Linked DNA regions of Mus musculus: all the other regions are reported to be linked to region 4. Evidence: microRNA targets listed by miRTarBase, many of them from high-throughput screens and not tested one by one. Region 4 holds a microRNA gene; each other region holds the end of a gene's coding sequence.
The links. The annotated mature microRNA mmu-miR-5135 reads AGGUCUAGGUGGCAAGGGCGUCCU and lies in region 4 at 929-952, shown strand. An mRNA with a match to its seed (bases 2 to 7 or 8) in the 3' UTR can be bound and repressed. Matches are read on the target gene's strand: a 7mer-m8 pairs with bases 2 to 8, a 7mer-A1 pairs with bases 2 to 7 and ends in A, and an 8mer does both.

Region 1: miRTarBase lists Hnrnpab as a target of mmu-miR-5135. Seed matches in the 3' UTR shown: 7mer-A1 at 1,420-1,426.
Region 2: the mRNA of Plin3 is a reported target of mmu-miR-5135. Seed matches in the 3' UTR shown: 7mer-A1 at 924-930.
Region 3: the mRNA of Stk11ip is a reported target of mmu-miR-5135. Seed matches in the 3' UTR shown: 7mer-A1 at 1,163-1,169.
Region 5: the mRNA of Ostf1 is a reported target of mmu-miR-5135. Seed matches in the 3' UTR shown: 7mer-A1 at 2,126-2,132 and 7mer-A1 at 1,844-1,850.
Region 6: the mRNA of Gls is a reported target of mmu-miR-5135. Seed matches in the 3' UTR shown: 7mer-A1 at 1,491-1,497.
Region 7: the mRNA of Sult1b1 is a reported target of mmu-miR-5135. Seed matches in the 3' UTR shown: 7mer-A1 at 929-935.

What each region holds. Positions count from the first base shown.
Region 1 is chr11:51,598,823-51,601,904 of GRCm38, reverse strand. It overlaps Hnrnpab (heterogeneous nuclear ribonucleoprotein A/B), which reads left to right. Exons shown (of 8, transcript NM_001048061.1): 7 at 15-155; 8 at 427-1,805. The coding sequence ends at 497. Phykpl (5-phosphohydroxy-L-lysine phospholyase) reads right to left here. Exons shown (of 13, transcript NM_028398.3): 11 at 2,309-2,439; 12 at 1,283-1,336. Among named protein-coding and RNA genes, the nearest start is that of Hnrnpab, 6.5 kb to the left of the region's middle.
Region 2 is chr17:56,277,050-56,280,131 of GRCm38, reverse strand. It overlaps Plin3 (perilipin 3), which reads left to right. Exons shown (of 8, transcript NM_025836.3): 8 at 59-1,170. The coding sequence ends at 400. Among named protein-coding and RNA genes, the nearest start is that of Ticam1, 1.8 kb to the right of the region's middle.
Region 3 is chr1:75,535,611-75,538,692 of GRCm38, forward strand. Stk11ip (serine/threonine kinase 11 interacting protein) reads left to right here. Exons shown (of 25, transcript NM_027886.3): 25 at 476-1,725. The coding sequence ends at 625. Among named protein-coding and RNA genes, the nearest start is that of Slc4a3, 9.3 kb to the right of the region's middle.
Region 4 is chr12:76,531,013-76,534,094 of GRCm38, reverse strand. Mir5135 (microRNA 5135) reads left to right here and starts at 883; the gene lies at 883-961. It overlaps Plekhg3 (pleckstrin homology domain containing, family G (with RhoGef domain) member 3), which reads right to left and starts at 535. Exons shown (of 19, transcript NM_153804.4): 1 at 277-535.
Region 5 is chr19:18,578,747-18,581,828 of GRCm38, forward strand. Ostf1 (osteoclast stimulating factor 1) reads right to left here. Exons shown (of 10, transcript NM_017375.3): 10 at 1,618-2,582. The coding sequence ends at 2,524. Among named protein-coding and RNA genes, the nearest start is that of Ostf1, 52 kb to the right of the region's middle.
Region 6 is chr1:52,163,416-52,166,497 of GRCm38, forward strand. Gls (glutaminase) reads right to left here. Exons shown (of 18, transcript NM_001081081.2): 18 at 34-2,899. The coding sequence ends at 2,743. Among named protein-coding and RNA genes, the nearest start is that of Stat1, 46 kb to the left of the region's middle.
Region 7 is chr5:87,512,140-87,515,221 of GRCm38, reverse strand. It overlaps Sult1b1 (sulfotransferase family 1B, member 1), which reads left to right. Exons shown (of 7, transcript NM_001382837.1): 7 at 161-1,895. The coding sequence ends at 282. Among named protein-coding and RNA genes, the nearest start is that of Sult1b1, 21 kb to the left of the region's middle.

The sequences.
Region 1 (3,082 bases), not on the chromosome of region 4:
GCTCCCCCCCACAGGTCAGAGTCAGAGTTGGAATCAGGGCTACGGCAACTACTGGAACCAGGGCTACGGCTACCAGCAGGGCTACGGGCCGGGCTATGGCGGCTACGACTACTCGCCCTATGGCTATTACGGCTACGGCCCCGGCTACGACTACAGTAAGTAGGAGAGGGAGGCCCTATCTACTTCCTCCTAGGGGAGGCAGGTTAGGTAGTGCAGGGGCCATTGGCAGCAGGGGCTTTGGAGTCAGACAGGCCTGGCACAGGCACTGGAGCTACTGAATGAAGCTCTAGCTTAGCCTTCTCAGTAAGGTGTAAGAAGCTGGTGTTGCTGTGTAGTGTTAATTTATTCTGAGGATGTGTGGCAAGCGCCTGGCACTGGGTAAATGTATAGTTAAAGTAGTAGCCACAACGTTGTTCTTATTCCTAGGTCAGGGTAGTACAAATTACGGAAAGAGCCAGCGACGTGGTGGTCATCAGAATAACTACAAGCCATACTGAGAGGCAGCAGGAGCGGCCGAGTGACGACCGCACACGCTTTGTTTGGACGCGGAGTGAACACAATTATGTACCAAATTTAACTTGGCAAACTTTTATGGCCTGTCCCATGTGCATCTTATTTAAAATTTCCCCCAGAAATCACTCTCCTGTTTACTATTCCAGAGCTCTAGTTGTAGGCAGCGTGTGGCGTCTCAGAGGCCAGAGCGGCACTAGGGGGCTGATTTTATTACCAGGTTACCCTGTTCTAGATCAGGAGGGTCTATTTCCTGTTGCCGCTCTGCAGCCTGGACCTGTGGACCCTGGTTGTAAAGAGTAAAACTGTATCTTAGGAAACCAGTGTCACCTTTTTCACCTTTTAATTTTATATTATTTGTGTCATACATTTCCAGTAATGGAAGTGTTAATTTTACTGTACTTTTTGGTACCTTTTGGGAATCTAATGTATTGTAAGGTATTTTACACGTGTCCTGATTTTGCCACGACCTGGATATTGAAGCTATCCAAGCTTTTGAAATAAAAATGAAAAACAAAACCCCCAAGCCTGGGTAAATGTGGGATGCTCTGTGAGACCTTGCCCAGTGTTGGAGATGCCAGGTCTCCTGTAGCAAAGCAGAGGTCCTTTAGTTATCCCATCTGATCTTTTTAGCTGCCCTTTTGTGCCCATTGTCTCCATAGCAGAGACCATCTTGCCATGTATTATATATATTCCATGTTCTTAGTTTCAGTCAAGTACAAGTTGAAATGTTGGGGATCTGCTGATGGAGGTGGGGCCAAGTCTGGCTTACCTGGGGGGTGCTTGATCCTCAGGGTTTCACAACTTCTTACTTTTTCTTCCATGTCTGGAAAATGATCACAGATCGTTTCTTTTTCCCCCCAAGACAGGGTTTCTCTGTAGCCCTGGTTAGGTTATCCTGGAACTCTGTAGACCAGGCTGGCCTTGAACTCAGAAATCCACCTGGCTCTGCCTCCCAAGTGCTGGGATTAAAGGCGTGCGCCACCACGCCTGGCCTACCCTCAGTTTCTAAGATGCTTGGGATAGTTTAGAGATTGGCTTATGTCTCATCATTTCCCTAGCACAGATGGTCCCTTTGTAAGCCCAGTCACCACTCACTGTTCTGTACACATAGAACCCTCTAAGAAATGTATCAATTCCAAAACGCAGTAGGGGTGGCTAACAAGCAGGAATAGGAAGGGATCCTTGGTAGCTTGTTTTTTGTCTGTTGGGATCTGAGCTTTGTATAACAACCACTTTGGTGTATAGTCATTTCTAGTTCGGTAGTTTTCTTAAATAAATTGAGGGAGACCTTGGGCTGTTCTTGACCTTGAGTGATTTAAAGGTTATGGGGAGGATTTGACTCTAGCCAGCCAGCCATTTTAGCCACTCACATGTGAGGGTGCCCCTATCTTGAAGATAAAATGAAGCTCCTGTCATTAACAGTTTCTTTTGGTTTTTTGAGACAGGATTTCTTTGTTTGATGGCCCTTGGCTGTCTTGGAACTTTATAGACCAGGCTGGGATTGAGGATGTGTGCCATCGCTGCTGGGGTGAACATGAAGGCATCTTGCATTTTAAAAAAGATAAGGTGTAGGTAGCCCAGGATTATCTTGAGCATGTGATCTCCCCCATTCTACCTACCAAATTTTGGGATCATAGGTGGTGATGCCCATGTTTAGTCAGTGCAAGTTGCTACTGGTTACAAAGGCCATCCTTTCTGATCTAATGGATACTTGTTATAAGATCCCTGGCGCATGCTGGGAGGCTCTAGTTACACAAGGGCTGATCTATGCTAGATGGGATTCTATCAAGTTTACCTGTTAGAATGTCATCCAGCTTTGCTACCACATGTTGTGCATTGTCAACGTTGAAGCACATTGGGGGCTTGAACTTCAGAATATTCTTTCCAGGGCCATCAATGCTCAGTAAAATGTAGTTTTCCTTTAGCCTGCAAGAACAAGATACTTCACAGACAGGCCCCTGTCCTCTGACTATCTGAAGTTAACCTTGAACTGGCACCCACCTTACTTTACCTCTGGCCAATTAACTTGTCCTCACCCAAGGTACACATAATTTGTTAAGCCTACCACTGTCTATGTGGAACTTGCTCTGTAGATCTGGCCTTGAACTCTTGAGACTGACTTGCCTCTGCCTCCTAAGTGCTGGAATTAAAGGCATGTGCTACTGCCACCACCATCCATGACAGTTTTTAAGTTTCACAAGATTTTAGCAAATTGCCCAGGCTTTAATTTGCTCTGATTGTAATCCAGGCCACCACATCACCATGCCCACCCAGCACTATATTATCACTATGTAGTCCAGATACTGGTAACCCAGGGGTATGAAAGGATTATATTTTTGAATCTCCAGTTTTTGTGCTAGAGAGAAAGGTTACACCCAGGACAATAGCCAGCCCTTAGACTGCAATTAGAACGCCCTGGCCCTGACTTCTAATCTCTGATCCTCATTTGAGTGGATAAGCTGGCTAATGTCACTTACTATTGAGTAGGTAAATAAATTTTACAATGTGAATGTTCAAACTCCAGGAGGCTTCATGGTTGGAGTAAGTTCATTAGAAGGTGGTGGGTGTT
Region 2 (3,082 bases), not on the chromosome of region 4:
GGCTCTGCACCCTACTGGCCCTCAATACCCTGACCCCACCCCAATCTCCCCCTTCCAGCAGGTGGAGGCCCGGGCACTCAGCATGTTCAGGGACATCACCCAGCAGCTGCAGAGCATGTGTGTGGCCCTGGGGGCCAGCATCCAGGGCTTGCCCAGCCACGTCAGGGAGCAGGCACAGCAGGCCCGCAGCCAGGTGAACGACCTTCAGGCCACCTTCTCCGGCATTCACTCCTTCCAGGACCTCTCAGCCGGCGTTCTTGCCCAAACTCGGGAGCGCATAGCCAGAGCCCGGGAGGCCCTAGACAACACTGTGGAGTACGTGGCCCAGAACACTCCAGCCATGTGGCTGGTGGGCCCCTTCGCTCCTGGAATCACAGAGAAAACCCCTGAAGGGAAGTAGGGAGAAGGTTCAGGGCCAACATCTATCTGGCTTGACTGCTTTTCCCAACAGTCCAATTGCACAACAGGTCCTCCCCTACTGAGTCTGAATGAGACATGTGTTTAACCTATTCCCATCAGTCTTTTAAAGCAATTTTTTTTCTAGAATGTTCCAGGGGTAAAAAGATCCAGAACATTCTAGAAAAAAAAAATGTTTTTTTCCTAAAAAAAAAAAAAAAAAAAAAATGAGGAATGAGGGTAATGAATAGTGATAGCACTAGTCTGTCATCCTGTGTCAGCACTGTGGTATAGAGGCAAGAGGGTCACAGGTTCAAAGCCCGGCTGCCACATCACAAATTCAGTGATAGTCTAAGCTACATTAGACCTTGTCTTGAAGTAAAAAAAGGCATAATGATTTTTCACTCCGGGTTTCTTTTCTACATCATGGCCCACAATAGCAAGAGCTTTTCTTGTTTGTTTTTTTTTTTTTTTTCCTGAGACAGGGTTTCTCTGTATAGCCCCTGGCTGTCCTGGAACTCACTTTGTAGACCAGGCTGGCCTTGAACTCAGAAATCCACCTGCCTCTGCCTCCTGAGTGCTGGGATTAAAGGCCGGCTAGCAAGAGCTTTTCTAACAGACCCTGATACCTGGCCCAAGAACCCAGCAACTGTGACAGGATAGACAGCTGGGATGTTGCAATTGTTTCAGATGAGAAAGTGAGGGCCGAGTACACTGTTCCTCAAATCCTGGGGCTCAGTATTGCCTTAATAAATTTTATATGCATCAGAGGCCAAGTGGATGGTGTATATGTGTGTTGCCTTCCTAGGAGCTGAGCTGCCCTGACATCCCTAGAGACCTTCTTCCTTCTGTCTCTACTCTATGCACAGTGCGAGTCTTCCCACTTTGAATGTTGGACGTGATCACTTGTGACCCTGTGGGGACAGCAGGAAGGGCCTGCTGCCTATTTTCCCTCCGTCTCTGTGATGTATGGAGAAGGGTCAGTGTGACAAGCTGAGCCTGCCAAATATGCCCACAGTCTGTTCCCCTTGATCTCAGGGAAGGTGGGGACAAGAAGATCTGGAGTTCAGGGTCATCCTTGACTACCTAGTAAGTTTGAAACTAACCTGGGCTACTTTGAGACTATGTTTCAAAACAGCAAAACTCGGGGCAGGAGAGCTGCCTGCTGTGGTAAAGTGCTTGGAGTTGTTTGGTTTGCGGTAGAAACTGAGAAAACTTACTTCAGAGACAGAAGCTTAAAAAATAAAAGCTTTATTTTCTGCACTGGCAGGGAGGTGGCCAGTTGGGGATCTGAACCCTGATGAGAGACTGCACGACGCTTTTTATAGGATGGGAACACAAAGCGAAGGGGACCTGGGTACTGACCAATCATATCTTGACACAAAGGGTTAAACAAGGACTTAACACTGGTGACTAGGTCTTATCTGGGTCACCTGGTTTCAGGGTCCTTGAGTCAGCTTTTACAGCCTAGTCCCCTCCTGGACTCTGACCTGGAATCTAGTGTGGTGAAGGACCAAAGGAGTGGGTGAGCCGCAGTAGTCAGTTAAATCAAGGCAGGGACACACTAACGACTTGTGTGCTTTAGTTTGGATAACTGGAGAACAGCATCTTCCTTCCTTACAGCCTTCACTGGCTAACAGACAAACATGAAAGATCTAAGAAGCAGGATAGGAGTTGTATTCTGGGGCCTGGGAACATGAACTCAGTCTTGACCCTGCCAGCAAGATAGAACTTGTTTCTGAGATGGCTGGACTCAGGAAACTGTCTCCTAAAGATGTGACCAAGAGCAAACACTTGATGTCAACCTCCAACTTACACAAATACGTGTGCATATGTAAGCATGAAAATGTGGAGAAGTCCGTCTGCTACCTGCTTTGGGGAGATGAGTGTCCAGAGTCTGGGAGAGATTGAGTTCAGTGGCATGAGGCAGATACTCCTGCCTAGACTCCCCAGCAAGAGGGTGGGGTGGTTCTCCTTTGTGCACCTCATCTTCCAGTCATAGTCCTCTGGGAACTGCTGCTTTTCTGTTTTCACAATTTAGTTTTATCAGTTTTAAAACATGCCATAGGGCTGGAGAGATGGCTCAGTGGCTAAGAGCACTGGCTACTCTTCCAGAGGTCCCCGAGTTCAACCCCTAGCAACCACATCCATCAGATGTGGCTCACAACCGACTGTAATGAGATCTGATGCCCTCTTCTGGTGTATCTGAAGAGAGCCAGAGTGTACTCATACGTAAAATAAATAAATAAAGCTTTAAAGTATGCCTGTAATCTCACCATCTAGCTGAGCTAGGAGGATAGCCCCAAGTCCCAGTATGCATACACAGACCGTTTCTCAAAAGTAAATACCCAGAAATCTCCGACAAATCTTTGTGTTGTGTCTCTGTGACGGCTCAGCAAGTAATGGTACTTGCGGTTCTTTGACCTACATTCATACATGCCTGCATGCACATACATACACACAACACCAAGTAAAATCAAGTAAAGAATTAAAAATATTTACAACCTAACAGTTGTATAAAACCTTGTGGCCTCCAGCACTTCTGTTTACTTATCTTGTATGAACTTATTTTTGAGATGGAGGTCTCACTCTGTGGGTCAGGCTTCCTTGGAACTCTGGGCAATCTCTCTGCTTTAGTTTTCTGTGTGATGCTGGACTGACAAGTGTGAGTCATCAGGTTCCCAGT
Region 3 (3,082 bases), not on the chromosome of region 4:
GTCCTGGCCTTGGAGCCCGGTACTGAAATACCTAGCTGGTGTGAGTTGGTGTGATCAGCCTACCCACACTGTATGCCAACTGGTTGACCTTCACAACTCCAACATGAGGAGGAGGTGCTGTTGTTGATCCTGTCTTACAGATGATGGAACTAAGGCTCAGAGACATGAAACTTGTGCAGGTCACAAGAGTAGAGTCAGGAGTTGAACCTGCACAGTTCTTGGAATTGACGTTAGAACTCACGTTCCCTACAGCATGGAAGATAGAGACGGAACTGTGAACACCAGTCCTCTAGAGCCCTCAGACAGTGCGCTTTAAGGCTCAGAGTCGCCCTTTAATGCAGTGTCACACAGACCTGAGGCAGGGGAGGAGGGGGAAGAGCCTTTAAAAGCCGAGGGTGTGGTGTCTTTTCCTAAGATTCTGGACTCTTGGTATGTCTCTCACTGTGTTTCCCTTGCCTGCTGCTCAATCTACCAGGTGTCTCGACTGGAGAGTTTCTGGGCCCTTCATGTTGTGTGTGGGGAGCAGCTGACAGCCCTGCTGGCCTGGATTCGGGAGCCCTGGGAAGAGTTGTTCTCCATTGGACTCCGGACAGTAACCCAGGAGGCTCTGGACCTGGACCGATGAGGCCTCTTCACTGACTTCGCTGCCTCCCCCTGGAGTTGCACTGCCGATGCGATGCCCTTTTTCCTAGTCTCTAGGTCTGGCTGCTTGCCTGGCTGCTGTTGGCCATTGGCTTGGGAAGCTCCAATGACCACAGCTTAAGAGAAGGACAAGAGAATCCATCTGGCCCTTGGGTGACCTGCCTAATAGAGCAGGCTAAGTGGTCAGTGCAAACATTTCTCCAGCACTTACTCTCAGGTATCAATAAAGTTGTTGCCAGGTGTCATGGGTAGTATGTAGAAATGTCTCCCAGCAAGCCTGCCATCCCCTAATCTCTTCCCGGAAGCAACCTTGTTTGCACTGAGACCTGTCCCCAGCCCTTCTCTAGCAAAGTAGGATTACTGACCCTGATGTACCCAGTCCCCAAGCAGGTTGCGACCTATCCAGTGGCCTTGCATGGGATCACTGCCAGTCAATTAGTTGGGTCCCTTAAGATTTTTCATTATTCTTTTTGAGACAGGGTCTCACTGTGTAACCTTGGCTAGCCTGGAACTTTCTGTGTAGACCAGGCTGGCCTTGAACTCATGGAGACCTGCCTACCTCTGCCTTCTAAGTGTTGAGATTAATGGCGTGAGCCACCAATTGTGAAAAAGTTGTGAACTTCCCCTCTTCCCAAAGTTTACATTTTATGTAAAGACCTGCAATAAAAAGTGAGATCCTGTCATTGCTGACTCTGGAAGTCACCTCTTGAGCGAAGCACTGTACCTGTCCAGAAATTTCAATGCATATACACGCACATGTGCATATCCCCCCCCACACACCCCCCCCCCCCCACATTCCCAAAAAGAGTAGCTAGTTCAGCTATCAATGGAGAGACGATTCTTGGGGTTGGTTTCTCCCAGGCGATGCCCTGTCTGGTCTGCTGGGAGGGTGAGGGGGAAATGCTAAGTCTTAGGACTGGCTGGCCAATGGGAAGTGCCCTTGGAATAGCTGTCCTCTGGTACTGCCTGCAGGGGACCCAGACAGGCCTGTTCAGAGGCTCTCAAAGTAATCTCACCTACTTCTGTTTTGTTCAACGCTGCCCTGAATTTTTAATTGAAGTAAATTAAAACTTCCCCAAAGTATTAGTCCACTTTCTCAGTGGTTTGCACGACACTGTCCCATCTGTGACGCCGAGCTGTCTGAAAGCAGAAAACTGAAGAAAACCTGTTCAGCCTCTGGCCCAAATCTACCCTTTTGCACAGATCTCTTAGCAACGGCAACAGCAGAAACAGGTCACAGTGCAGGTAGGACAGAAGAATCTTGCCATTTAGGCTGCAGTGCACAGAGGTGTGAACCTTCGGAGTCCAGGCATCTTCCAAGTCTTTGTGCTTCTAGTTTCAGAAACATCTTTGTTTAGCAGTGACAGTCCTTGGCAGCATTGTGAAGAGGTGTTCGTTTTGTGCCCCAGAAGACATTATCAGGACTGAGGCCATTACCACTTAGGGAGGTGACTATAGCATAGGTGTCAAGAGGCTCTTGCCTCACATGCTCTGGGCTGTCCCCAGAGATCAATTGGTCCATTCAGTCTGCTCTCCCCATCCCTCCCCCAGCCCAGCAAGTACTTATTGATTGTCTGGCCCTAGGCTGGCATGAGGAACACAACACTTGCCAGAGGCCTGGTGACTCCTGGAAAGCAGTGGAGAGAAAATTCTGAAACCACCATACCAGCGCACTGCATTTCCCATAAAAGGAGTGGGGGAGGGGATTATGGCTTACTATCTGCTTGTATGTGTTTAGATCCTAAAGGGATGACAGGAATTGGTGGGAGATAGAGTTGAGGGGAGGCAGAAGGGGATAGTATGACATTGAAGGTTTCACTCTTGGGTTTTTTCAAGACAAGTTTTCCCTGGCTGGCCTTAAACTCAGAAATTTGTCTGCCTCTGCCTCCCAATGCTGGATTAAAAGTGTGAGCCCAACTTGAGGAGTTGGCTGTTTAAAAGGGAAATTTAAGTGCTTCAAATTCTCATAGACCCAAAAGTTACACTTAAATTTTCTGAGGCCTTATGGGGTTAAATGATTCTAGGACTGGCTGAGGGGAGCTGGCCTGCTAAAGAACTCGTCTCCTTCTAGGAGGTGGCCCTGAGGATGAGTCACTTTTGATGGAGGGATGAGTAGCATCCTTCTTTCTCTGTTAAGATTCTACAGTGAAGTCTGGGAGGTAGAAGCGGCACAAGCCGTTAATCCCAGCACTTGGGAGGATGAGGCAGGAGAAGCTCTGAGTTTGAGGCCAGCCAGGTTTATAAAGCAAGTTCCAGGCTAGATAGGGCAGTTATAGAGAGAAGCTCTATCTCAAAATCCCCCCAAAGATTGTCTGTCTGTCTGTCTGTCTATCTATCTATCTATCTATCTATCTATCTATCTATCTATCTATCTATCTATCTATCTATCTCTATCTGGGGGGAGGGGGGGAAGGAAGGTGGTGGTGGGGGAGAAAGGGAG
Region 4 (3,082 bases):
GGGCGTCAGGGCACACAAGGAAGGGGTGGCGGGAATGTCGAGAGCTGCCCGGATTTCAAACTCTGCAAAGCCTATGCTGCTTTGGTTTCCGGGGTGGGGATAAAAAGTGACTCCCCTTACGACCTTCCCGCGACCCAACCTCCTCCGAGTGTGTCCGAGGCAGCTCGGGGCCAGGTCCTCATCCCACAGAGGGCTAGCCTGGGGTCTCCGCAGAGCGCTGCCACTCAGCCAATCGAGCATGGGCAAAGAGAGAAAGGCAAACCTAGGGACACTCACCAAGCGGTGGCCGCCCCGCCGGCTCGCGACGCGCCAGGCGCGCGGGGCTGCCCAGGTGGCGCCGCGAAGCGGGCTCGAGTTTGAAAGTCGCTCTCGGAAGCGGCAGAGGCCGCCGGCCGCTCCCGCCCACGGCTGGCCGCCCCGCGGTCCCAGCCTCTGCTCGCTGCGAGCACCAGACGCCGGGGGACCCCCGAAATGCGCACGGTTCCCCAGCACCGGGCAGGAAGTTGCGGCCGGAGTCCAGGCTGCGGCGGGAGGGAGGGAGGGAGAGAGAGAGGGAGAGGGAGGGAGCCAGGGAGGGGCGGACCAGGAATGTTTCCAGTGGGTGGAGACTGCGCTCGCGGCTGCGATCCAGCAATTGGCGGCTCTGGGGGGCCCGGGGGAACCTTCGCGGCGGTGCGAGCGAGCTGTGGCTCCCGCTGTAGACAGCGGCCGCCGTGGCTAATGATTAACGCGCGTGGCCCGCCGTGTGGGTCCCGCTGGCCGCCTCCCCTTGCCACCTGGAACTCTGGGATCCCAAGGCGCACGTGGTGGGGTTACTCTAGTGCCACCGCCCTGATATCACGCCGAGAGGGCAACGAAAGCCTCCAGACCAGGTTCCGACCAGAGAGGACTCGGAGCCCAGCCACCTAGACTTTCCCAGGAGAAGCGCAGGTCTAGGTGGCAAGGGCGTCCTGGTCCTACTGGAGCAGGTCACCACGACCGCTGAGTCAGAAAGGCACGTCTCGAATTCCTCGCCGAAACTAGGTTTCGGTGGCTCTTTACAGTTGTAAAATCTTACCTTCTGAGGAGAAAGAGATAAGAAGCGCATAACTTGGGGCGGGGCGGGGCGCGGCGCTCAGTGGGACTGTTAATGAGAAAAACTGATCGAGGAACCTGAATGTCAGTGGACCCCATTTTGAGTGCGATCTATCAACAAAAGGCATGTACCGGGAAATTAGGGGATGGGAAAATTGGGGGATGATTAGCACAAGCACATAGAATACAAACCAGTTAGATTTTGAGCAAGAACATAAATCTTTTGTGTGGTTTTTGTTTTTGAAGCAGGATTTCAATTATCTGAGACTGGCAGAGGGTAATCTTGAGAGTAATGGTTCTCCACCCTCTATCTCCGGAGTGCTGGGATTACTGGTGTGCACCACCACGCCCTAATTATTGTTTTTATTTTATTTTTTGATTTGAAACAGGCCCACACTTTGTAGCCCAAGCTAGCCCAGAACTCTTGAGTGATCCCCCAGAGTGCTAGAATTATAGGTGTGCGCTACTACACCTCACTAAGAATAAATCTTTCATTGGTAAAGATCTTAGGGGAGGTAGCATTAGATGCTGTCCCCAGTACGCACCATGAAGAGGGGTAGGAGATGGGAGCCCAGTGTGAGATCACAGAAGAAGTAGGACTCCTGCGTTAAACGATGGCACCAGGTTCTTGGAACAGGAATGGAGAATCGACCCCAGTAACTCAGCATTTAGACCGCCAAGTGTAGACAAGTGAAAATCCTAAATAGCTTATAAAATCCCCTCCTCCACCACTGCCCTCAAAAAAAAAAAAAAAAAAAGCTGCCCCAGGGAAAAGCAAGCACCTAGTGATTTACGGGGAGGGGCGGGGCAGAGAGAGAGGAAATGGCTTTCAGGTGACTTTGAAACGGGATCCCTGGGAAGAGTAAAGATTAAAGTAGTCCTTGCTCCTGACTGCGGGAGGGCCAGAAAGTAAGGCTCACGTTACTTAGTCCACAGGTTAGGCTTGAAGAGCGGCAGACTAGAGGACAGCACTGGTGAGAAACAAGATTACCCGGGAACGGGGGAGAGAGATAAAACTACGGGGTGGGATGGGAAAGGGAGAAGCCCCACTCCTTCCCACCTCGAACTTTCTGGGTTTCTGGTTTCTTCTCTAATCTGTTAAATCTTACCAGTCCTTTCCTACTAATCTTAAACTCCCAACTTCCAAAGACGTCCCCCAGCCCCAATCCAGAGATTTAAAACTTTTGAATGTATGACTGGCTCCTTAGCTAGAAAAGAAAAATAAAATGTTGATGATAGTAATGGTTAGGGAATGGTGCTACCAAGTGCACTGCACTTTATAATCACTAAGGCAGGAATACACTTACTCCCATTTTGCAGGAAGAATACTGAGGCTCTAAGGATGGAGCAGTCTGGCCAAGATCAATTGCATCAAGGGGCGTAGTCTGAGGGGGCGACACTGGAGTGCTTACTGTGTTAACCTTTGAGCATTTTACAAGAACAATTGCGGTTACAGGAGAAACTGAGGCTTGGTCATACTGCTAGTGGGTGGTAGAGCTGGGAGTTTCTACCCACAGGGAAAACTGCATTTAGCCAGCCAGCTCTTTCTCCACTTCCTTCTAGACACTTGTTAGTCCATTCTGAACTTGATTCTAAAGCCTCGAGTTGTTTCTAATTGCTTTAATTTATATGCCCATTTCCTGAAAAGATTGTAATCTTACTATGCAGAACTTGTAAGAAGCATTCAATAAGGCCATGCTGGAGCCAGATGAAACAAGCAAGATTTTATAAAAAATCAGTTTCCTACCTCCAAGCCTCCAAGAGTCAGTGTCAGGACCAGGGTCTCAAGCCGAGCCGCAGCCCCCTTCTCAGCGTTGAGCCTTTCTGCCTTCCCACCAGCTCTTGCTTCAGCGAGCGGCCTCGCCCTGCTATTAAATCATTTATTATTATAATAACACCTTGAGTCTCAGTAATGCCTTTAATCTGAGGTCTCAGGGTGTCTAACAAATACAAATTAATTCATCATCTCAGCCCCTCCACTTGGAAGGGAGAATGGAGGTGTTCTCCC
Region 5 (3,082 bases), not on the chromosome of region 4:
AAGGAACTGCTATCTTTCCAATTTTGCTTATTGAGAAATGCAAGCAGCTCGACTGGATTTATTAACAAGCCAGGCGTGGAGGCTCTCGAGTACAACCCCAGCACTTGGGAGGCAGGGGCAGGATTTGAGGACAGTTTGGGCTACACAGTGAGTGTCAGGGACAGCCTGGCGAGACTGTCTCAACCAACCAAAATGAAACAATGTAATAGCACAGCAGCTATTTGGAGGTGACAATATGCCTCTTAATTAATCCCAGAGGCCGTCTCTGCTGTCATTGCTTTTACAGGTTATTTGCAACTAAATTAGGTGAGGTATCTGAATGACCTCAAACTGGTCCCTCCAGGCACCTTTCTCAAGGGACCTACAGAGAGAAAAACCAGCTACAGGCAGAAGACACACCTGCACAGGCATTATTCATTTCCTGAGCTAGTCCACTTCCTTCTTCAACATTTCCCTCTCTTGACCAATACGCCTTTTGAAATAAGCAGTCAATTCTTAAAGATGTACTTCTGGGCCCAGGGCTGGGAAACTAGAAACACTGAGACCATGACATTTTTAACACAGTGACACAAAATTAGAATATTTTTAAAATTTTTAATTTTATTTGTAAATCATTTTTTGCACTCCATATTCCATTCCCTGTCCCTCCCCATCCACCCATCGACTGCTCCCCATACCTCCTCCCCAACCCATCCCATCTCCACGTGGATGCCCCCACCACCCCATCCCACCTGACCTCTAAACTCCCTGGGGCCTCCAGTCTCTTGAGGGTTAGATGCATCATCTCTGAATGAACACAGACCTTGAAGTCCTCTACTGTATGTGTGTTAGGGGCCTCATATCAGCTGGTGTATGCTGTCTGTTTGGTGGTCTAGTGTTTGAAAGATCTCGGGGTCCAGATTAAGACTGTTGGTCCTCCTGCATAATCGCCCTTCTCAGCTTCTTTCAGCCTTCCCTAATTCAACAAGGGTCAGCTGCTTCTGTCCATTGGTTGGGTTCAAACATCTGCATCTGACTCTTTCAGCTACTTGTTGGGTCTATAAGGGGGCTGGGGGGACCCCACCCCCACCCCCAGAATGCACCAGAGACCTGGGAGGTAAAAGACTCCTAAGACTCATAGGGAGGGACCCTTGATGAAATACCCGACAGTAAGGAGTGGGAACTTATAGAGCCCACCTCCAGCAGAAAGATAGGGCATCAAGTGAGCCATGGGGTTGTCATCCCACAGTCACACCTCTGACCCATAACTGTTTCTGTCTGAAAGAACTGCAGGGATAGAAATGGAAAGGAGCCTGAGGGAAAGAAGGTCTAGCAACAGGCCCAAAGTGAGTTCCAGCTCAAGGGGAGGTCCCAAGGCTATTTCCTGAGGCTATGGAGGGCTCACAAAAAGGGACCTAGCATGACTGCCCTCCAAAAGACCCAACAAATTAGAACTTTTAATGAAGTATCACACCAAGGCTTCCTGTATAGCCTGACTCAGCAAAGGAATCCAAACCCTTGTGAGGCAGACACGCGTTCTGAGAAAACATGTTATCTGAGAGAGTCAAGTTCATGCTTCCTAACAACGTCGCCCTGGAAATTACGGCAGCTTTCACAAAGAAACAGTCATGGTTTTCTAAGCTTCCACACTTTAATCAAACTGAAATGAGGTCACTGAGGTTCTACAGTCTAGGTACTACCCTGAATATAATTCTGAGTATATCGTAATTGTTAAAGTGTTATCTTTTCTTAGATATGCAATTGTGTTCTGTGTTGAACTGTGAGCCAGGCGGTGGTGGCCCACGCCTTTAAACCCAGCACTTGGGAGGCAGAGGCAGGTGGATTTCTGAGTTCGAGGCCAGCCTGGTCTACAGAGTGAGTTCCAGGACAGCCAGGGCTACACAGAGAAACATTGTCTCGGAAAAAAAACAAAACAAAACTAGGAAGCTGTGAGAGGAACACAGCATTGTGATTCTTCTGTGCTAATCAATATCAAATGTGATCTAAAAGTAACATCGAATCGGTTCTTACCTGAGTATAGAAAGCTTTATTTACCAGCAATGAGTGATAGCACAAAAACAGATAATAAAATCTCTTTAAATGTTTATTTTTGTCAGAAGAGCTGACAATTTTCTGTTGAGAGTTTTGGTCTATTGTTATAATAACCATTTCCCCCTTGAAAAACCCACTCAAAACATCTCATTCCTTGAGGTAAAGAACTTAAAAAAATGATTTTTTTTAAAAGAAAAAAAACTATTACAATTCCTTTAGCTTGATAAATAGAAATAATTTTTTTTCGTTTATTTTACCCTGGTGAGCATATATGTATTTTATACAACAAAGTATCTCTTCACTTATTGGCAAGGCGTGGGTGAGAATGACCCACCCTCACAACGACTCCTCACAGATCACAGTGCAGCAGTGTCGCGCTCATACAGACTTTAAAAGCAACAGTTATCAATACTCTTCTGGCAAACAACCCAGGCTCCGGAATGGCAAAAGCAAAAGAAGTTTAGGCAACAATCAAAGCGGCCCCGGGGGGAATCAGTCTGAGTCTTCGTCATCGAGGTAGTCCTCGGCGTTGCTTAACGTTCGAGCCCCATCTAAGGAGAAGACAGGAAGGAAGAAAATTACAAACAAAGGATTTACACACGGTTGAGACTGTTGTGCACCATCGGTGCTTTTGGTGATTGAAAACACGATCCTCTTCTCTCCAGCAGCAGAGCAAGATGCCCAAAGGGAAGAAGGCCAGGGGAAAGAAGGTGGCCCCGGACCCCGCCGTCGTCAAGAAGCAGGAGACCAAGAAGGTGGTCAACCCTCTGTTCGAGAAGAGGCCTAAGAACTTCGGCATTGGACAGGACATCCAGCCCAAAAGACATCTATCGCACTTTGTCAAATGGGCCCGCTACATCAGGCTGCAGCGGCAAAGAGCCATCCTCTACAAGCGGCTCAAAGTCCCTCCTGCCATTAACCAGTTCACCCAGGCCCTGGACAGGCAGACAGCTACTCAGCTGCTTAAGCTTGCCCACAAGTACAGGCCAGAGACAAAGCAAGAGAAGAAGCAAAGGCTACTGGCCCGTGCTGAGAAGAAAGCTGCTGGCAA
Region 6 (3,082 bases), not on the chromosome of region 4:
AGTTATTAAAAAAGAAAACACTTTTTCTCATAGTTTGTTTTCAATACACATATTTATTATGCTGTAAAAAGCAACACTACCTGATCTCATTTAAAATAAGTATTTCCCAATTCCAGAATACTTGCAATTTATAGTTTTCATTTTGGGAAATGTTGGAAGTAAATACATTCATAGTTGTGGACTCCCCAGCAGGGATCTACATCAAACATCAGGTTATCAAGTCCCTGACGGACAGCTGGATCAACAGTATACCCAGCTCTACAGCTAAAGCACGTGTAGGCAGCACTGGGGTATAGCATATCACCAGACAGGGGTGTCAGAACCAAGACAGCAGAAACAGTGGCATAAAAAGATCTTCAAAGCAACATGATCATGTAATGGTTCCAGGATACAGAAAAATTAGCTAAGATTGTAAAGCCAAAACAAACAGATCTTTGGAGTTTACAGATGGTAGCAGTTAGCGGCTCATTCACACACACACAGGGTCCTTGTTATTATCAGCCAGTAGCGAACAGCCAGAGCAAGACCTGGCACAGGAAAGAGCATACTCAACCAAGCCACAGAGACTGTACAAAACAGCACTGAGCTGAGAGAAGATGAAAACACCTGTCTCAAAGAATATACAGAACCATGACTGGAGGGGATCCTCAGTCACTGGCAATATTTAAGTTACTGAATCACAAAAAGCCAGCCGCTATTGAAATAGCATTATCTCAGTTGATTCCAAAAAAACCATGTTCACCCATTAATTTTGGAGGTTGTCCCTGCGTAGGATGTTCCCAGTGCCACCTATGCACCTGTCTTGAGGGGGTGTGGAAGAAGCAACATAGCAACAGGGCTGGCTGCCCACCCACCATCCTCCCCACAGACTCTGGAACTTAGAAACACACTCATGGTGCCTGTCCTAGTGAAGGAACATTAGCCACAGTTTCATCAAGGGTGGAGCTGGCTAGGGAATGGAGGGGGTGGCTGAAGCTGACTTTGACTGAAACAGGATCAAAGCAGCTGGAGGTTACCGGGTGAATAATGTGCCACCAGGCATAAAGCAGGGATGCAAGCAGTGCAGGTAGTGAGGGTCACAGAAGACGCTGTATTACTGTCATAACTGCTAGTATCTGTGCACTTGAGAATTTTGCTTATTTCATAAAGCAGTTTCTTCATAAAGCAGTTTCCAAGAAGTCCGTGTGTGTGTGTGTGTGTGTGTGTGTGTGTGTGTGTGTGTGTGTATGCCAAGTGTGCATGCACTTGTGTGCAAAAGTCCTCACTAACATACCCTTTATCTCTTGGAGGTATAATAGGGTAGGTCCAGTATGTGGGACTCCTAGATAATTATGTTTTTTGTAAGGTCGCTTTTACCTATTATCTAAGTTAATCATAAATTACCTTTCCAAAGCAAAGAAATGGTGGGTCTGCCAGGCGTGGTAGTTTGCACCTTTAATCCCAGCACTCGGGAGGCAGAGGCAGGCGGATTTCTGAGTTCAAGGCCAGCCTGGTCTACAAAGTGAGTTCCAGGACAGCCAGGGCTACACAGAGAAACCCTGTCTCGAAAAAACCAAAAACAACAACCCAACCCAACCAAACCAAACCAAACAAAACAAAACAACAAAAAAGAAACGGTGGGTCTAAGTTGAAAATGAAGTGATCTTATTGAATGATACAGCCCACCAACAGTTAGGCAGTAGAGGAAGAGAAGATACTCAGGGCCTCCCACAAAGGGGTGCTATCTTGATGCAGACATTTGACAGCAGGATTCAAAGTAAGTGTTATTTGTAGCTTTTCCTAAATATATCGTTATAACTTTGGTAACTGAAAGCATTTCTGAACTTTTCTTTATTGTAGAAGCTGAAAAGAACTTATAAGTGTGCAGTTTCGCTGTCTTTACTCTTAAGACTGACGATTATTTTAGATGTCATAATTTTGGCTCATCTTCCTTAGATAAATGGCCAAGCTCTATCTCTGATGGTAGAGATGTGAGGCTTGATGGCTTGCTGAGGAAACATGAAAACTGCACAGTGAGCCAGTGCTCTCTTTCCCAGCTGAGGGGGACCGACAGCCACGCAGCACAGAGAGGCTGGCCCAAGCGTTGTATGGAAAGGAAAAATTTAAAAGTGCTAGAACTATATTCACACATACGTTTTGGTCACCAAACATATCTTAACAGATTCCCTGATAAAATCTAATCAGAATCGGCCTGTTCTATGAACAGTTAGTATCTATTTTAATATTTAAAGAGTCACACTCTGAAGTGAGGGTGATAGACATTTTAAACACTCAACCATACAAGTGTAGTGGTCTCTCAAACACTCAAAACTAAATCTGTATTTAAAGTCTTAAAGATCACACTATTTTCACCTAATAACAGCATCGACCCCGTGGACAGACTGTACAACAAAGCTCACTCCTAAGTGCATATGAGCGTATCATCACCAGGGCTTGAAAATGTACAGAACGCAAACCATGAAGACCACACAGTTCAGCTGGCATTGGTAACTACTCTTTTACACCACATTGTACAATGCACGAGGTAACTATTGCTCACATTATGAAGGGAGGCTGCTTCATTTCTATTTTTTTCCCAAAGAACTCAGATTTGTCGTGTGCGCACAATGAAGGAAGCTCCGGTAACACTGCAGTGACAGATGTTGTAAATACACATTACTACCAGATAGAAATATACAATGCTCTCCATAGTCATGTTCCACAATGACTAGGTAAGTAATGGAAGTCTTGGGGTGCAGACCATTATAGCAACCCGTCGAGATTCTTGTGGACAGTCTGGTTTCCCTTTCCATCATCAGAATCCCCTTGAGGTGTGTACTGAACTTGGTATTCCTGAAGGATTTTAAAAACATCATGGTGTCCAAAGTGTAGTGCTTCATCCATGGGGGTATTATTCCACCTGCAGCACAGCAGACAGGGTCGTTAGTCAAGGAACTGCTGCTCGGAGACAGTGCTCCGGCACCCCCAGGTTTTCCATCCAAGCTCCACGGCTGTTGACGTTCATCTATACTTTAGCAGTATTACAAGTGAGACTCCCCCACCCCCCAAAACACACAAAAAAGTTCTTAGAGTTCAGACACTG
Region 7 (3,082 bases), not on the chromosome of region 4:
AATAACACTTTTCTTTGTTCTTTCATATTAGAAATTTTCTTTGAAGCAAATGAATTATTTTTCAACTTCATCCCTTAAGTATCCTGCCTTTCCCTGGTGTCTGTTAGTTTTTTCTTTGTAATTCGTGTTTTACTCTTTCATGTGTTATTATTATTTTCAGGTATTGTTGGGGACTGGAAAAATTACTTCACAATGACCCAAACTGAGCAATTTGATGCTGTCTATAAGAAGAAGATGTCTGGAACAACACTTGAGTTCTGCACAGACATTCAGAGTGCCTAATCTACAACTTGAATATATGGTTTCTTAAAATAGTAACCTGGAAGAGAAATCAAATAGATTCATGAAGGAAAAATAAATGTGCTTTAAAAATGCTAATTGAAAACATACTACACATTCCCCAGCAGGTAATCTTCCAAATGATCTAGAGCCAAGGTCTTTTGTTACCTTAGTTTTCAAAGGATATGTCTTCAGATTTCTAGATTCTTACTGAGTTGAATAAATACATTTTGTGACTTTTGAAAAAAAAAGAAGTTGGTCTGAGTTTATTATAATATGGAATATAATTTGTTTCAGAATATGAAACATGTTCTTGCAAAACATATTTCACAGGAGACTATACTTTCCACTGTGTCTCCCATGTAGTAGTACTTAGAGAAAGTACTTAGAGAAAGTACTTAGAGAACACTAAGCGCTTCTTAGAGTTATGTTTCCTTCACTATTAAAACAGTTTGCAAGGTTGCAAATGGTCTGCATTTTCTACACTTGTTAGGTTCCCTCTCCTGGATATCTGACCCAGGACACTATGCTCCCTGGCTATCTCAAGGTTTTCATGCTGTTCTGTGAGTTATCAATTATCCTTCTACCATGGTTCTTCAGTAATATTATTCCATGTGTCAGATCAAGTAGCTGAGACTTGGAAATAGTGTAGACCAGGCTGGCCTCAAATTCGGAAATTCACCTACCTCTACCTCCCAAGTGCTGGGTTTAAAGGCATATGCCACCATCACCTGGCCACATTATTTTGTTTAGAACTTTTCCCTTGAGCTGTGAGCTTATCTCTGAGAACCTATTCAATCTCTGCCCTATTCACGTCCAGATATATCTTGGACAGAGAAATGTATAACTCTTTGTGTGAAAAGGTTTCCTGCCTGTAGGTAATATCAACCTATGTAAAATTGTATCTCAAACTGTCTCCAAACTAAAGCGAGTTGATGAGCTCTAGATTTCTCCTTTACCTATTCAAAAGATGGAGGCTTCATTTACAATGTAAACACACTCTCAACCATAGCTGATATGAGAATAGGTAAAAGAATTTGTATTTTTACAAGTGAGTCTTAGCTACAAGTCCTTGTTTCAACTTCAAAGAAAGTCATCCAGTACAAGTGCAAACTCACAGAAAATACACATCTTTGCTTAGAGAGATAGCTGCTTCATAACATGGTTTATAATTTCTTCAAGTTATGAAACATGTGTTCTAATGCTAAGAAATATCTTGTAGAAGTTATATAAAATATTTGTAGGTATGAAAATATAATTTGACTTGGAGAATATTCTTCTCAGGAAAAAAATTAAGCCAATGTAGGCAGATACTTAATTTGCCTTATTATCAATACCAATAAGTTAATGTGACCCACAATCTGATACAACCTCAAGTTATAGGAAAAAATAATAAGCATCTGTGACCTAGACTAATTTTGTTGTAATGGCTTGCTTGAATCATCTACCTTCACTAGTACAATGAAGTAACTTTGGCTTTCCTTTTCAGGAATTTTGTTTAATTCTGTTCAACAATAGTAACTTTATAAACTTGAACTATTCTTCAAGTGATTTTGAAGTGCAAAAAATATAATTTGAAAAAAATAAAGTGTATATTTTTCTTTACTTTTCAAAAATCCTTTGATCTTTTTATACCATCCAAAACACTGCCAGTAAGTTAACTTGCAATGCTTTGCTTTTACCTTATTCACCAATTTACAAAGAGAAACCATAAGAGTATTATTCTGTTTTTAACTGAATAATGTAAGAATTGTGATAGAAAGTAACAATGGAAAATCTCATTCAACATTTCATAGCCTCTTTGTCTTAAAAAGTTCAAAGAATGCCTTATGGCATCCGTTCATCACAGCAAGATAAGCACTGGTTGAGTAGAATTTCAAAGGGTGAGTTAGCTGGCCCCTTTCTCCTATCCCTGTTTTGATGTGAATCTGTTCCTGACTTGTCTCAGTACATGTCACTAACTTCATCCAGTCTGAAAAAGTTTTATCCTTAAAAAGTTTTGAAGGCAGAATACTATGTCATATAATCACCACCATGATATTTGGGCTAACCTAGATCTGTGTTCTTGGGCTATAGTCATTTATATTCATCTGCAGAATAAACTATATCTCATTTCTTTTATGGTATGAGCTATATTTTTAACTTCAAAACAATAATATCTGTAAGAAATAGTTATGGACAGCTTGATTCCTAAGAGTTCCAACACAACTAAACTCACAGGTAAGACCATGCCCCCAATCCCAGTACTTGTCCTAAGTGACAAGTGTCCCTGTGACCCAGAGGATGCAGGACCTCCCACCCTGCTGGGGACATATTTCCTGCCCAAACTGCAACTTTGCCTAGAGGCAGATTATATGCTCTAGCACTCTGCCCCAACTCTTCTCACAACTAGAGACAGCATCACTCCAACGAGGTACTCTACAGCCAGGCTCACAAATTAGGTGTTCCAGACTCGAATCCACATACATAGACAGCCTGGCCTGAGGTGATCATAGCCAGGCTCAGAGGAGGGACAGGCTCCAGTCAGAGACAGCAAGGCCATTTAATACTAGAGATAACCAGATGGCAAGAGGCAAGCATAAAAACAACAGAACCAATATGACTTTACAAAATCAGATCCCAGTTCTCCTACTACAGCAAGCTATAGATAGCCTAACACACCTAAAGAACAAGATTCTGACCTAAAATCCCATCTCATGAAGATGATAGAGGACCTTAAAGAGGACATAAATAACTCCCTTAAAGAAATACAAGAGAACACAGGTAAACAGGTAGAATTCTTTAAAGAGGTAACACATACATC